Linked DNA regions of Oryzias latipes. The protein of the gene in region 1 purifies or fractionates together with the protein of each later gene. This does not show direct contact. Links are inferred from orthologs where the notes say so. Each region holds a gene or a part of one and is shown on either strand. Other genes may lie near its edges. The genes, in order: rabggtb and rap2c.

Evidence for each region.
Region 2: the proteins of rabggtb (region 1) and rap2c purify together in Homo sapiens (co-immunoprecipitation; 3 studies listed by BioGRID and IntAct, counting the BioPlex papers as one, with this or other methods). This does not show direct contact. The link is inferred for Oryzias latipes from reciprocal best matches to the Homo sapiens genes RABGGTB and RAP2C.

What each region holds. Positions count from the first base shown.
Region 1 is NC_019875.2:3,785,750-3,793,578, reverse strand, and holds the start of rabggtb (geranylgeranyl transferase type-2 subunit beta), read right to left. Parts: upstream 4,693-7,829; 5' UTR 4,580-4,692; coding exon 4,577-4,579; intron 4,277-4,576; coding exon 4,169-4,276; intron 3,837-4,168; coding exon 3,639-3,836; intron 3,470-3,638; coding exon 3,364-3,469; intron 2,037-3,363; coding exon 1,984-2,036; intron 1,899-1,983; coding exon 1,788-1,898; intron 1,554-1,787; coding exon 1,428-1,553; intron 295-1,427; coding exon 145-294; intron 69-144; coding exon 1-68. Other genes in the region: acadm (medium-chain specific acyl-CoA dehydrogenase, mitochondrial), read right to left, coding at 6,328-6,399, 6,482-6,730, 6,842-6,937. UniProt on the Homo sapiens protein: Catalyzes the transfer of a geranylgeranyl moiety from geranylgeranyl diphosphate to both cysteines of Rab proteins with the C-terminal sequence -XXCC, -XCXC and -CCXX, such as RAB1A, RAB3A, RAB5A and RAB7A.
Region 2 is NC_019868.2:11,792,636-11,800,790, forward strand, and holds rap2c (ras-related protein Rap-2c), read right to left. Parts: upstream 5,032-8,155; 5' UTR 4,326-5,031; coding exon 4,053-4,325; intron 3,275-4,052; coding exon 2,996-3,274; 3' UTR 2,989-2,995; intron 2,738-2,988; 3' UTR 1,440-2,737; downstream 1-1,439. UniProt on the Homo sapiens protein: Small GTP-binding protein which cycles between a GDP-bound inactive and a GTP-bound active form. May play a role in cytoskeletal rearrangements and regulate cell spreading through activation of the effector TNIK.

The DNA.
Region 1 (7,829 bases):
GCTTTGACCTGTTCCTCGCCCAGGAGGGAGAGTCCAGCCACCCCGAACAGAGTATGGAAAGGGTCCACCTTCAAAAAAACAGAACCACGGAGGTCCAGACATGTCGGATAGCTTCTTCTTCTTCTTATGTGTGTGATAGCTCACCATGTCTCCTGGTCTGTCAGCAAAACCTCCCGTCTCCTCATCCTGACAGGCCAGAATAAACTGGCGTAGTCTGGACTTGTCGATCCAGTGGATCCTACCGATGATTTTCAGAGATGCCAAAACCCACCAGGAGTAGCAGACATCTGGAAGCTGCAAAGACAGATGGCTTTGAGACCAGGAGTGCAAAACATTCACAGCTTCAGCCGTCTGCCAGTAGTACATAAAAGAAAAAGAAAAAAACGGCGAGCAAACTTGATGTTTGGCCTTAAAGCGGCAAAAGGCCTTCATCTCTTTCCTCCACAGAATGCGAGTGTTTGAGGAATCTCTGTTCTTCTTCTCTGTCTTCCACTCAAACCACAACATCACAAAATTCAGGATCTCACAGCTATTTCAGTGATTATTGCAGCACAAAAATCCTGAAGCCGCCGCTAGTTTTTGCCTTCAAAGTTGTGATCAAAGTTGCTACACTTTTCAAACTAAAGGGATGGCACACAAATTCTAAAGCTGTTTTATTTTCCAAGGGCAGCTTTATGCACCGTCACAGGAAATGCTCCACACTGATGAAAGTCCTTCTTCATCAGGGATTTCTTTACAATGATATCTTTTTTTGTCCTTGTTTGTTCAAGAGTGTTTGTCAAACCTGAACAATGGAATAACAGCAGCATGCTTAGCAAACTTCACACAAAAACATTATCTTTTCGTTAAAACGTTACATTTTAACTAAAGAATAAAAAGCTGACTCAGTGATGCTTTGAAAACCTTTTCCTTTCTGTCCGATAACATTAAATGTGCTCATTTCACCCCCAAAACCTGGACTCTAGATTTCTTTAAACCCACACACAGTAAATTGTGAAATTTTGATGGTGAAACTTGTTCAAAATGAGAGCAGCTGGACCGAGTCGGAGGCAGTTGATCGGAAGACCCGGAAAATTCTGGAGGGGCTGATATTTGAAGCCAACCCAGAAATGTTGTTACAGCAAGTACCACATGTTCTGTTTCTTTCTCACTTAATTCATAGGAACCCATGGAACCCATGGTGACATCAGTGTCACAGACAAACAGCAGAAACGTGTTCTGTGATCCACCACACTTCACTTTCCTTTTTAGGGAAAAAGGGGAATGACAGGAAATGTGTACACAAACACATTTTTCAGAACGCCGGCAGGTTTCTGAGGGCTGGTCCTCATGGGAAAAAGAGTTCAATGATCTTCTTCAACAGCACTAAGGTTTGGTTCACGAGGAAACTAAAAAGATTTGTGATTTCATGTTAGAAGCTGTCAAACCTTCTCAGGCCTTCCGTTGAGGCCTCCAGACGGCAGCTGGCGTTCGCAGAGCCACCAGCCCAGCAGGTCTGCGTTCAGCTGGTGCAGCTGGCCGGTGAGAGACAAGAACCCGGTGCAGCAGTAGATCTGAGACCAGAACCAGAACAGGTTTAGACTTTTGAAACACAACTGAGGCTTGAAGAGAAACACATAACAGTCCAGCATGAAAACTTTTCCTCCTGAGAACGCCTCCGCTTCTTAATCAGACCTCTGAGTTATGACGTGAGGTGGTGGAAGAAGGCCTGATTTGGTATTTTATTTGGACTAAAAAGTGAGGCTTTGCTTATTATTTCATAGAGAAATGACTCTTTAGTTCCTCACCTGCCCAGCGTGAGACTCTGAACCAGGTCTGCAGCCAAAACCGCCGTCAAAGTTCATGCAGGATAAGACGAACTCCACAGCTCTGTCAACATTTATCATCTCCATCTTTCCCTTCAAAGAACAGCATTAGTGTGAAAGGCAGTTTAGAGATTGGTGGGCTTTGGGATGAAAAACTGTGAACAAATAAAAAACATACCAGTAATGCAAGTGTGGCAACAGCACAGAAAGAAAACCGGGTGTCTATTTCTCCTGTAAACACAAAACAAAGAAAGAGAGAAATTCTCATTATAGTGAACAATTAAGACGTCTGTTTTTAATGTTAATAACAAAATGACCCTGAAACGTCACTTTTTTGGCTAAACTGTGGGCAGAAAAGCAGCTTAAAAACAGTTTCAAGTGTTTCAGACTTCAATGAGAAAAAAGAAACTTTACAGAGATGATCGGCATCAAACACATCCTAAAGTCCTCCTTTTTATAACGTTTCTACCAAGAAGAATTTCTGATAAAAACTAAAGAGCCAAACGTCTGGAAACCTCGAGATCTGTGCTCCTATAAGACTTCCACGCCTAGGGGGCATTTGCACAAACTCAATTACCTCCAAGCAGATAGAACCGTGAAAAAAAGAAACTCTGACGGGTGAAGTTTTATCAGTTTTTTCTTCTCTCTATAAAAAGATTTAAGTTTTTTTGTGTGGGTTTTTTCTTTAAATTTTTCACTAAACTTGATTTAATTCTATAAACTAAGGTAGCATGTATTAGTTATTTAAATAAATAAGATATTGAATAGCATACCAACACTTTCATCCATTTCTGCTGTTTTTATTTATTTTGTTTTTAATTTCTGTGAAACCATTTGTGCTAGACGTGCTCTGGTTCAGCTGTACATGAAGTTTTTGGACTGTTGTGTCCTCTGAAACATTCCTTCTATGACGATCTTGGAGCATCTGTTCATGATCAGCCTTTTTTTAACAATTAAGCAGCATGAAGCTTTGAATTTCAGTGTTTTAATGTTTCTTACATCTTACTCTGTGATGTAATCAGTAATAACTCATAAAACTGGAATAAAATGATGTGTGACCTGTGTGTCTTTTACTTATTACAAGATGTGACATTTGCATTGTTCCACTTTAAAGTTCATTCATTCATTTTCTTTTGTTTATCCCTTTTGGGGTCACGGGGCTGCTGGAGCCTATCCCGGCCACTTATGGGCGAGGGAAGGGGACACCCTGGACAGGTCACCAGTCTGTCGCAGGGTCACACATAATCACACACCCATGCACTCTCACATTCACACCTATGGACAATTTGGATGGACCAATTAAGCTATGAAGCACATGTTTTTAGACGGAGGAAGCCGGAGACCCTGGAGAGAACCCACGCATGTACGGGGAGAACATGCAAACTCCACACAGAAAGGACCCCCATTGATGTTCTGTTTCAGGTCGCCCAGCCGGGACTTGAACCAAGGGCCTTCTTGCTGTGAGGCACGAGCGCTAACCACTGCGCCACCGTGCAGCCCCACTTTAAAGTAATGTATAAAAAACACATGTAAATGGACAAAAACAAAGTTTTCTCACCCCATTTGTCTCCTGCAAAAGAGCCGTCTTCCTGCTGAAGCCCCTTCACATATTCCACGACTTTGTCCACATCGATGGCATGCAGGCTGTCATAAAGGCATAAGATCTAAAGGAGGGATTTGACATTTAAAGCATTTATACTGAAGGATTCAGTAGAGAGAAGTAAAGATGCTTAACTTTGTATTTCTTTGTGTTATCAATTACATTTTGTGTGGCCAAATGAGTTTGTAGAGTAAAGCCAACTTAAGAGACTCAATGATTTCTGAGCTTGTCACCTGGACAGCGCTGAGGGTGTAGAGCAGGTGAGGGTCGTGTCCGATGCTGGCGCTGAAGCCTCCGCAGTCGTGCTGGCAGGCTTTGATAAAATCTATGATTTCCTGCAGGTTCATTCTGTCCAGCTGGCCCATCAAGTCCATCACCGTCAAGCCCCAGTAGATCCCGCTCATCCTGAGGTACTCCGACAGGGTGTACTCCTGAGAACACACGACACACCGTCACGTCAGCAGCAAATACACTGGAGATACTGACACGTGGAAACTATTTGCACCAATTGAATCCAAGCTAAATCTTTGTTTTTAAGACTATTGATCAGAAGCAAAAGGTCTCATCATTTGTTTACAGTTGTTCATCAGTTTTTCCCTCATCTTTTGGGGAAATGGTTTTCTAGCCACTGGTGTTTGATGACGTAAGTCACATCCGGTTAAATAAATATATCAGACACACAACATTCTCACAACTTTTAAATATGTCTGTAAACTGCTGGTCCAGCTGATGTTCTGCCTTAGATCGCAGCAGCTTGACTTACATAGTCGTCCTTCTTGGAGCCGTAGGCAGCGATGTAGTCTGCATGTTTGTCCAGCAGCAGCGAGCTGGGAGCGTCCGGCTTCAGAATGACGTCTTTGATTTGAGTTCCCTGACCAGAGCCAGTCACGAGACAAGTTAGACAAAGAAACACATCACTCTGCCATTCAACGTCAAAAGAAACTTGTTTTGTGAACATTAATTAACAGATGAACGTAGATCTCTAAACAGCTTATTTAGGTTGCTAGATGCTATCGCTAAAGCTAACATCTTCTCAACTAACTGCTTTTTACGTAATAACTATAATTGTAGTGTTTAATTTAGTATAAAATACGCGTCCTTAGGATTGTGCACTGATTATGGAATAATAATGCAAAAAGCCTCTGCAGCTTTAGAAAAAATGTCAGATTACCATTCTGACATTATATCCTGCCAGGAGAAACTTCCGTCGTCTCTTCTTCTTCTTCGTTTCACCATAAACTCCCTCTAGTGGTTGGAGCTATACTGCCCCCTCTGGTCATCTGTGGTTTAACAACTGTGACCATTTTTTCCCCCTTTTTTTGTCCATCTTTATTGGGGAAGTTACGTTTAAAGTTTTTTCAACTAATAATTTACCAATTGAGAATTCACTATTAGTTTGAATTGTAGGTGAAACAACGTTTAAGCTACAAAGATTTCTACAAACATTTGATCTGGTTTTTCTTGATGTTGACATAAAACCGCGTGGAAAACAGTGTTTTCATTGAAATTCTCACATAAAGGTGACTGCAAAATGCTGTCCAAATATTTTTTTAAACCTTTCTTATCCCTTGTGCTATCCTAGGCACTTTTACATCGTGAGTTGGGTCATCTAGACCCACTAGACAGTGCTCTGAACCTTTTTTCTTCAATGATTTGTGGTGCCGATCCATGGTGTCCATGGATTACATGAAATCTTTCCACCTTTATCATGGTAGGGAGAACCCATCAATGTAAGGGGGGGGGGGGATCATCCAAGATGGCACAAGGGTTATAGGTGTTCTTTTGAAAATGGGAGTGTTAGGAAATAGTAATATATTAATAAAAAGATTAAACATAAAAAGCTACAAGTGGTCTCCATATTTCCAGGAAAATTGGCCTCCGTTTGACATAGGGGCTCCTGTCTTGAGCGACAAACATTTCCACGATTATCTTTTGTCATTTTCAACTAAAATATTATTTTTCTTTTAATTACAGTCCCATCACCATAAGGCTCCCAGCCTCTAACCATTTGGCAGGGTGGTAAACAGGACATAGGAATACAAAATAAAAATAACACAATCATGACTTTAAATCTGCCCTTTTACTGTAAGACATTTTTCATTCAAAGTTAAAAATACGTATATGTAGTACAACAAACACCAGAAACAGTTTCATTTCTTTAATTCATTGTTCTTATTTAAACCATTGTGTTGACGAATGGATGAAAAAATTTAAATAAAAAGAGGCACAAACTGAATGATAATAAATTGCTTTACAGAGAGCCAACATGCCGCACTTCCTCCAACACTTCCAGCCTTAAAATCTGCAGTACAGAAGTACAAAAATGTTGCTTTTCAGCTCAACATTTCTTGGCATTAATAATAAAATCGAGCAGAAAATCTTTTTAGGCACCAGCTGGAAGAGATGAGCAGCTCTCTACACATTCTAGTGAAAGCAGGATTCACCTTAACGGTTATTTTACAAAATCAACATTTAAAATGAGTCCAGAATGAGGGAAAACAGGGTTAGTTATTCGAGATTTTACTGCAGTAAAGATGAAAAGATACAGTCTGAAGTAATGCCTCGTTTAAAATCTACACAACAGATGTTCACTGCAAACTTTGATACTTTTAGCTCTCTTAGCTTAGTGTGGGATTCGACATGCAAACAATCTTTGAAGCAGGTTTTTCCTTCTGTGATTGACAGGAACACTTTTCTGTTCCTCTGCAGGGACTGCGACCTGCTGAGATCTACTGGACGGGAAAAGACAAAATCCTTACAGGACAGAAACTAAGTTAGCGTGGATTCAAGAGCTGTGTTACGTTGACCAAACAACGCATGAATCGACGTCAAGGCAAACCACTGAGCTGCGTCCTGACGTTTACAGTCTGAACAGTAAGATTGTGCACAGAAAAGCAGAGAGGAGCACATGGACCTGTGGGCTCATTTCTTATATTTTCCAAAGTGCTCTCTGGAAATGATCAGCCTTTGGATCTGAGCCGTGCCTTCATAGATCTGCGAAGAAAAAAGCAAAACCATTAAAAATCTGACCACAAAATTCCTCCTGATAGTGACGTCAGACAACAGGCAGAGTAACCTGGTAGATCTTTGCATCCCTCATCAGCTTCTCCACTGGGTATTCACTGTTGAAGCCGTTGCCTCCAAAAACTTGGACGGCATCCGTGGCCACCTGGTTGGCGATGTCTCCGGCAAAGGCCTTGGCGATGGAGGCGTAGTACGTGTTTCGGCGGCCCTGGTCCACCTCCCACGCGGAGCGCTGGTAAGCCATCCTGGCCAGTTCCACCTTCATGGCCATCTCAGCCAGGATAAACGACACAGCCTGATGCTGGGAAACCCAAGCACAGCTTAAAGATCCTCTACTTGTCAGATAACTTACGAGTATTTTGTTTTAACAACACAAAAAAGTGTTTAAAGCTTCCATTTGGGGGCAACTAACCTCAGCAATAGCTTTGCCAAAGGTCTTCCTCTCCAGAGCGTAGTTGGTGGCTTCATCCAGAGCCCTCTGAGCCAGGCCCGTTGCTCCTGCTGCCACCTGGTGGATTCAGACACTTTTGATCCGACTTTCAGGGAAAACTGTAATCATGCTTCAATTTGGACTGAACGTGGGAACCAAAATGCCCTTTTAAGTGAAGAACATCTCTCTTTCTTCCCTACAGTCTGACTCCATAATCCTTTTAACTTGAGGATAAATGATTCACGTTAGGTTGGTTGAAGCAGGATCTAGTTGTGTTGGAGGGAAAACTCCAACTACTTTTGTTGATCAAAACTACCCTAAAAACGGAGGTGAAAGGTCGGAACAGTCTGAGCTACATTAACGCCTGCTATCATGCTAGGTTGGTCTAAGTTTTGACTTTTTACATGGAGTCAGTGTTGGAAATTGCATCAAAGTATATCATTTATTTATTTACTTAATCTTTATTTACCAAGTAAATAAGACAATTCCCAAACTAAAGACACCCTCAAACTGCAATTATCCTTGTGACAAAATGATCAACAAAAAAGATTTTATGGTAAAAACAGAATTCTCTGTGTTTAAGCTGTGGCTTTAGATCAGTGTTTTTCAACCTTTTTTGAGCCATGGCACAATTTAACCTTGACAAAAATACCGCGGCACACCAGCATCCAAAATTTAAAAAAAAAAAAGGAGAAACTCAGTCTGTATTGATCTACAGTCCCTCCGCAATCTCACATGTATTTTTATGATAATTGTGGCAGAAAAAGCTGGAAGCTGCAGCTTTTTTTTTCTGATAGATGTGGTAAAAGTTTAGTTAGAAGATTTCAAAACTGTTTGATGCGTGTTCGTTTTGGTTTCAAGACATTTAAGGAAAGACTTATTGTGCACTGAAATTGCTAACACAATGCATCATGGGAAATGTAGTGCAAACAGCCGCCAAATGCAGACAGACTAGCGTCTCTGAGCTTCA
Region 2 (8,155 bases), on another chromosome or scaffold:
CCCATGATCAATTCCACTATAATGGCATCATGTCGTCCTAACTGAAGACAAATCTTCCTAAGTCTGATTGATAAAGAGGAGTCTTCCTCAGAAAGCTGTGAGACAAACATGCAGTTTTGCGGCAGAAAGGCGCAGATGAGTGGGCATGCAAAACAAAGACTTCCTGGAGCTGGTGCATGTGGGCGTAGACAGAGCTTCGCACTTCAGCTCCCAGTAAATGCATCGTCAGTCATGTTCTCAGTTAATGCAACAGAAAAAGGTGGGAACTTACCTTCAACAGATGCTTCCTCGATGTAAACATATTCACCGGGCGGTTGTTTTAAATATGTTCACTTTTTTATTTTTGAGGGCTTCACTGTTTATATTTTCCTATGCTTCCACGCTGTTTTTCCAGGGTTGTTGTTCAGCAAATATGAGCAAATTTAGCAGATGCTTTTATCAAAAGCCACCTCCAGGCCTCAGTTTGTCCAAACTGAAGGCAACCTGTAGGTCAGAGATCTTGCCCAAGGGTACAACGACTTTCAAGCTTAGAATTTGACCCCTCAGCTAATTGGCAGACACACAGTCTTATATACAAGACTTACTCAATGGTTTTAGTCTTCAGGGTTGACGCTGTCGCTTTGCTTCCCTATTTTGTTTCATAACAGCACTGGAAAATATGCAGGTGACTAAATTAGAAAACAAGAACACAAACTAGGGCTCACTTTGGTGCAGTGGTTCGCCCACACAGCGAAAGACCCACTCCCATGAAAATTGTGTTACGTTAAAAAGTCCATGTTAAAGTTGTGTTTTTTTACATGGCATTTTTCTCATTGTGGAAGGCTTATAAAAAACAAAATTAAGCTCAAAATTTCATCTCTTTTTTAAATCTGGGGCAAAAAAAAAAATTTGTATTTATGACGTAGACTATATCCTGGCGGGCCACAAGCTCCTTGCTCTGCTCTAGTCTGATGCATTCGCCTGTAGACAATCATGTTTTCCTCGTCTGAGCTGAAATCTGGCTTAAACTGTACGGCTGGATAGCTCCAACATTGCTCAACATTTTTGTTGCACGGCTACTGTTAGGTTTGGGTTGTGAGGGGCTGTAAGCTAACAAGAGTGTAAACAGGAAAGGGGGGCAGGTTTACTCCACACCAACAGTCTCACCCACAACTCAGAGCTAATTTCTAATAAACTCCTGCTGCTCTGCAGAAAATATGTCTAAGAGAACAGTTGTTTTTGTGGCTAAAAACTGCATAATCATAATTCAAAGACCACTTGGAACACTTTTACAACAGATCGAAAGATGATTGGAGTGGGACTTTAAATAAATGTGTTGTTGACATGAGATTTAAATTAAAGTTTAACCAGCTTTGTGACACTTGTGTAAAACCTGAGTTGAGTTTGGTTTCATTGAAAGGTAGTACTGTATGTATCACAAAAGCAGAAAGTCCAGCATCTTTTATTCTGAAATGATGAAAGATGTTTATTTTTAAATGAAAGAAAAGAAAAAAATACAAGACACCCAGGTGCAACCAAAATTTTAAGGCTTTGTTAAATTCCCAGATTTATAGATCTATACAAAAACAAAATAAAAGACACCCAAACTTATTTTCTGAAAACTCAGAAATCCAAAGCTAGGGTAAAAATTCTAATTTTAAAACTGGCTATGGATGTCATAAGATTTAATAAATAGATTACCATCATAGAATCAAAAGTACAAAGTTGAATTTGATTAATTATGCCAGAACTTTAACCAACCCACTGAAACCGGAATTAGCAGATAATAATAATCATATATATGTATATATATAAAAAAAATCTGCAGCTCCGGAATTTAAAGCAACACGTTACATCATTAGACACAATAAAAGCAGGAACATTGTTTACTTTGGTCGCTCCAAAATCTACAGACTTCTCGATAAAACGGAAAATGGAAGACCTGCGTCCACTTAGACCATGCCTTTAAGAGACAGTGACGATTCTGGCAAAACACAGAAATTGGCTCAACCCAGTCACTTCAAGTTAGTTTACATTTTGGAAACAGTTTCACCTCAGCGCACATGTTGTCAAATCGATAGAGGTGCTGTAAATACTGACACAATAAAAAAAGATGGAGTTCCTCTTAGATGTAAATGTTACTGGCTTAATCCAAAGTCACACACCATGTATACGCTTACAAAAATCAGAAGATTCCCATTTAAAAACAAACGTTTTTCAGAAGAAGGTAGCAGAACACCTGAGCAGCACACTAGTTTAGGTATGCACGCTAAATTCAAAATGCTTCAAAAGGTATGAAACACTTGATCAAATCTCTAATCGGAGCCAGAATACAAGTAAAATCAAAGGGTAACATAATTAATGCAGTTAAAAAAACAAAAAAGATGCTGCAACCCCTTACGTCCTCCTGCACCATACTTAAAGGACACGTCAATATATAAGGAGGAGAATCAAAAAACAGTGAGACAGGAATTCACAGAGGGGCTGCCCATCCAGTTGTGTCTGTCCAATCCCAGGTTCATCTCAAAGGCCATTGAGGTTACAGCTGAAGCATCTTCTAGCAGGTATGATATCAAAAATAGGACCAGGTTCTTAGTCAGATTCTCTGTCACGGTCAAAAAAAACAAAACCTTTTTTTCCACAGACCGTGAGGCGACAGCACTGCCTGATGGGACAAGTTTTCGTCAGACAGGTAAAAAGCCAAGCTGTCCCCGTGTTCATCAAAATGCGCGTGGCGATCCAGGCCAATGAAGTCCATCTTTTAGAGCAGAAACACATGTGGGAGAGAGGGATATAAAAAAACAATTTACATGTAAACCACACAGACAACACCTCCAGCAGAGTTTAAAGTGAGCTTCCTATTTGGGGTCCTATTCCTCTTTCAGAATGTGACATTTTCCTCCCTGAAGCCGCTCCAATTTTTTTTTTCATACGCTGTCTTTTTCCTATCAGCTTTTATTCAAGCTTAACATGCATTTATGATGCAGGCAGATTCAGAGAAGCCCTTACCTCTTCCTCACTGAATCACACAGGCCGTGCAGCACTGCTCCTGCTTCTCTGGCAGCGTGGAGTAATTCATCTGTCGGACAATCTCTGCAAACAGCTCGTCCACCATAGTTTTGCTTTTGGCAGAGGTTTCGATGAAAGGGCAGCCCCACTCTTGAGCAAGGGCTCGCCCCTCGGATCCAGCAACTTCACGCTCAGACTCCAGGTCCACTTTGTTACCAACCAGAATCAACGGCACCTTCTCAAAGCGCTTCACACGGACTATTTGGTCTCGCATTGGTCTGATGTCCTGAAAGATGGACATGCAATTATAGTTCTTAAAGCCCTTGAGTTGAGAGATGAACAAGTATTTGTATTAAAAACGGACAAGAAAACAATCAAATGCCCACAGTTTGTGTTTTTGTAGAGATTAATGTCTACTTTGACTTTATAGCCTATTTTAGTTCGTCCAGCAAACAAAAATTTTTCCAAGCATTATTTTCAAACAGAAAACAATAAATCAGAAATAAAAAAAGGAACAATGAAAACTTCTGACAGTGAATTCCTTGTGCTTGTGACAACATGTTGCGCAAATTCTAGTCAATGCATAACAATTAGAGGTGTGACGATAAACCGACTTAATCAATGAATCGATACATAGTTCTACAACCCAACCAGGTCAGTCTGTCTGAGGCAAGTTGTTAATTCAGCCGACCAATACCATTAAAAAGTAGTTTCAAAATGAGATAATCAGTGTGTTAGAATGCATGTTCTGTTTGTATCATCTTGACGTGGAGAAACGACAGTGGGCTGAACATTGACACTAAAATGTGAATGGATTTAACATTCATTTTTGTTTACTTGTTTGTTCACATATTTAATTTACACGTAATTATCTTGAAGTAGTACAAGGACTGAGGAAAACTTCACCTGTCCTGTTCAGTACCAGGTATATTTATCTCTGAGTCACACTGGTTGGATTTTTGGCAACAGATGTCCTGGATTGAAACGCTTTGTTCAACTTTAACACTGTGATAAAGTTTGAGTTTGCCTCAAGTTTCCATTCATGTTGTCCTCCCTTTATTTACCTGGAATGACTGCTGGTTGACCAGGCTGTAGACCAGAATGAAGCCTTGTCCGTTCTTGATGTACAGGTCTCTCATGGAAGCAAACTGCTCGGTCCCCGCCGTGTCCAGGATCTCCAACACGGAGGGCGATGAATCCACTTCGATCTCCTTACGGTAGAAGTCCTCGATGGTCGGGTCGTACTTCTCGATGAAGGTCCCAGTAACAAACTGGACGGTGAGCGCGGACTTTCCCACGCCGCCGCTGCCCAGCACAACAACTTTGTATTCTTTCATTGGGGCGGTGGAGACTTGCTAACTTAGCAGCTAACGTCGTAGCTTTCGATCTATACTCTCTCCAAAAAACATTTAAAGCGGCATTAACAAAGAAGAGCCAACTTGTTGTTGACTTCAAATTTGAGGCATTAAAAGAACCACATAAGCTAAAGCCTGGCAGTCATTCTTATTTCCAGATTTGGTCTGGTCTAAACAGGCGAGTGAAAAGTTGGTAACTCTGAAGTTAGCTTGCTCTCACACTAGCTCGTTCCTGGCTAAATTCCAGCGGTGCCATTCCCGAGCTTCAAGCTATTTGCACTCGGACCCGATGCACCACGAGAGCGCTTTGACTCACATAAGAGTCCTGAAACGGATTTGGCGTCCATCAACAGACACCAGGTTGAGTTGTTGCACACAGAGGCTTCTCTAGACACAGCATGCCACCTCCTTCCGATCAGCCCGCCGGTGTCAGAGCCCTGCTGGGCTAGTCAAGTCCGGGTTCGGGCCTTGTTCTGGTACCGGTCCAGCCCTCGCCTCGATTGCCGAGTGTTATAAACGCAGATGAGGCACGAACACCTGCCACTTCTTCGGCCTTTGTGTTTTTCCGTGAATTTGAGTCGTTGCAGGACAGGTTTTGTTGGCAGAAAGAAATTTTTTTTCTTCACTAAACTGGTTTCCTGAAGCTAACAAACTGCTTCCGCTAACGAGTACGAGACTTCCTGCATGCCTCCCTTCAGAATAAAAGCATGTCTTTCCAACCCCGCAAATCTTTTCTAAAGGCCCGTGTAAAACAACCATTGTCAGCCATTTTGCAAGTAATTTAGATTCTTTACTGTGTCTGAATTAGGTGGCAAAGGCCAAACAGAAAGCTCACGATGAGCTATATGACAGGTTAGACACAAAGGAAGGAGAGAAGGACTTGTACAGGCTAGCCAGACAGAGACAGAGATGGGAAGGACGTGCAACAGATAAGGGGGATTAAGGACAGAGATGGAAATGTGCTAACAACCCAGGAGAGTGTACAGAAAAGATGGAAGGAGTATTTTGAGGAGCTGATGAACGGGGAAAATGACAGGGAAAGAAGGGAGGAAGATGTGGTTGTTGTGGAGCAGGAAGTAGCAGAGATGGGAAAGGATGAGGTTAGGAAGGCTCTGAAAAGGATGAAGAGCGGAAAGGCCGTTGGTCCTGATGATGTACCTGTGGAGGTATGGAAGTGCTTAGGAGAGACAGCAGTGGAATTTCTAACGAGTTTGTTCAATAGGATTATGCCCTGTAAGAGCACCACTGATGCCATTTTTGCTTTGAGAATGTTGATGGAAAAGTACAGAGAAGGTCAGAAGGAGCTGCATTGTGTGTTCGTAGATTTAGAGAAGGCGTATGACAGGGTGCCGAGGGAGGAGCTGTGGTACTGTATGAGGTCGTCTGGAGTGGCAGAGAAGTATGTCAGAGTAGTTTAGGACATGTATGAGAGAAGTATGAGGGTGGTGAGATGTGCTGTAGGTCAGACAGAGGAGTTCAAGGTGGAGGTGGGACTACACCAAGGATCAGCTTTGAGTCCCTTTTTGTTTGCTATGTTGATGGACAGGCTGACAGACGAGGTAAGACAGGAATCTCCCTGGACAATGATGTTTGCGGATGACATTGTAATTTGCAGTGAGAGTAGAGAGCAGGTGGAGGAACAGCTAGAGAGGTGGAGGTTTGCTCTGGAAAGAAGAGGCATGAAGGTCAGTCGTAGTAAGACAGAATACATGTGTCTGAACGAGAGGGATCAAGGTAGAAGCGTTAGGTTACAGGGGACTGAGGTGAAGAAGGTGCAGGAGTTTAAGTACTTGGGGTCAACAGTTCAGTGTGATGGGGAGTGTGGAAAAGAGGTGAAGAGGCGAGTGCAGGCAGGTTGGAGCGGTTGGAGGAAAGTGTCAGGAGTGTTGTGTGACAGAAGAGTGTCAGCAAGACTCAAAGGAAAGGTGTACAAGACAGTGGTGAGACCAGCTCTGCTCTATGGGTTAGAGACGGTAGCAGTGAGACAGAGACAAGAGGCTGAGATGGAGGTAGCGGAGATGAAGATGTTGAGGTTCTCCTTAGGAGTGACCAGGTTAGACAGGATAAGGAACGAGTACATCAGAGGGACGGCTCATGTTGCCTGTGTTAGCGACAAAGTCAGAGAAGCCAGACTGAGATGGTTTGGACATGTTCAGAGGAGGGATAGTGGATATATTGGTAGAAGGATGTTGGAGATGGAGCTGCCTGGCAGGAGGGCAAGAGGACGGCCAAAGAGGAGATATATGGATGTCTTAACAGAGGACATGAAGTTGGCTAATGTTAGGGTAGAAGATGTTCATGATAGAGTGAGGTGGAAAACGATGATTCGCTGTGGCGACCCCTGATGGGAAAAGCCGAAAGAGAAAGAAGACTGTGTCTGAATTAGGACATTTGTATGAATTGCATTCACAAGACAACTTCAGAGAAAATACAACCACTTATGTGAACAACGATCTATTGATCAGTTGCAACCAGATAAAAATAATTTGGACTGATTCACAATTGGTTGTCACTTAAAGTTTTAAATATTCCCTTTTTTTCTTTACTTGATGTTCTCTTATTTATGGAAAATCTGGACCCGGGAATTTCTGATGTCATCAATGTTGTTATTATTTTATGCAAACATTTCATTCATTTATGTAAATGGAAAAATGCATGTCCTTTGTTTAGTATTTTTTTAAAATTATTTTTCTGATTTTTATAAGTGTCTTAAATGCATTTCAAACAAAAACAAGAAACTACAGTAATTTATCAAAATATTTCAAAAGTATAGTTATTTTGAATTGTTTTTTGCCTTTATAACGTTTGTTCACCCTAACTTGGTTTGTATATGAGCATTACAAAAAAAGACACACACAGGGCTTATTACTATTATTGTTGTTTGGTCTTATGTGTGTTTGATATTAACAATTGTTTTTTTATTTTGCAACGTAATGTGAATTTCTGTAAATTGAAAAATGTGCAATAAAGTTTATTGAAAAAAAACAAAAACGATCTATTGATTTATTAAATTGGCATAACCTTCTTAAGAAGACAATTTAACAATTGTAAATACACCAATCTCCTAGTTACCATAATAATTTATTTTTCCATTAATATGCTTTTAATAAACTTACTTAACAGTCTAATTATTTTGCTAGTCTTTTCAATGTTAGATGGATTTGCTCATACTGTAAACAGTTTCTCTCAACTAATTTTCCAGTTAAAAAAATAACTAGAGAATGACATCATTAGCTAAATTTTGATCTGGGAACAGCTACAATTTTGTTCTATATAAATATCTGCAGGTGTGTGTGCACATTCATGGATTTTATGAACATGAACATACTTTGACCACTTTGCGTTTGTTTTCAAGAAATGTGATGGCATGTAGATTATGCATTTAGTAACAGAATACTATAATTTATATTCTATAATAAATAAAATATCCTTAGATCTCAATATTAGATGTTCCAAAGTTTTGTCTGTTGGTTCTTTAGCTATTCACCATTCAGTCTCCATCACATTTTTTAAGTCAAACATGTGTATTCATTTGTCGTCTAATTAATGCACTTATCAAAATAGCAACTTTACTGTGGACAAAATGCTCCACACATGTTGTGTTTGAAATTATATTGATAAAAAAACAAAAAAAAAACAATTACAGCTAATAATAATTACCACATGTAGTGAAAACATACCTTAGGTGGTGCCTTTCAACAAAAAAAAAGCAACACATATTTATGTAAGACAGTTAATGAGCTGATCGAACAATAAAACACAACACAATAGGATTATGTTTGTATGTTTTTATTTAAGATAAACAGAATTAG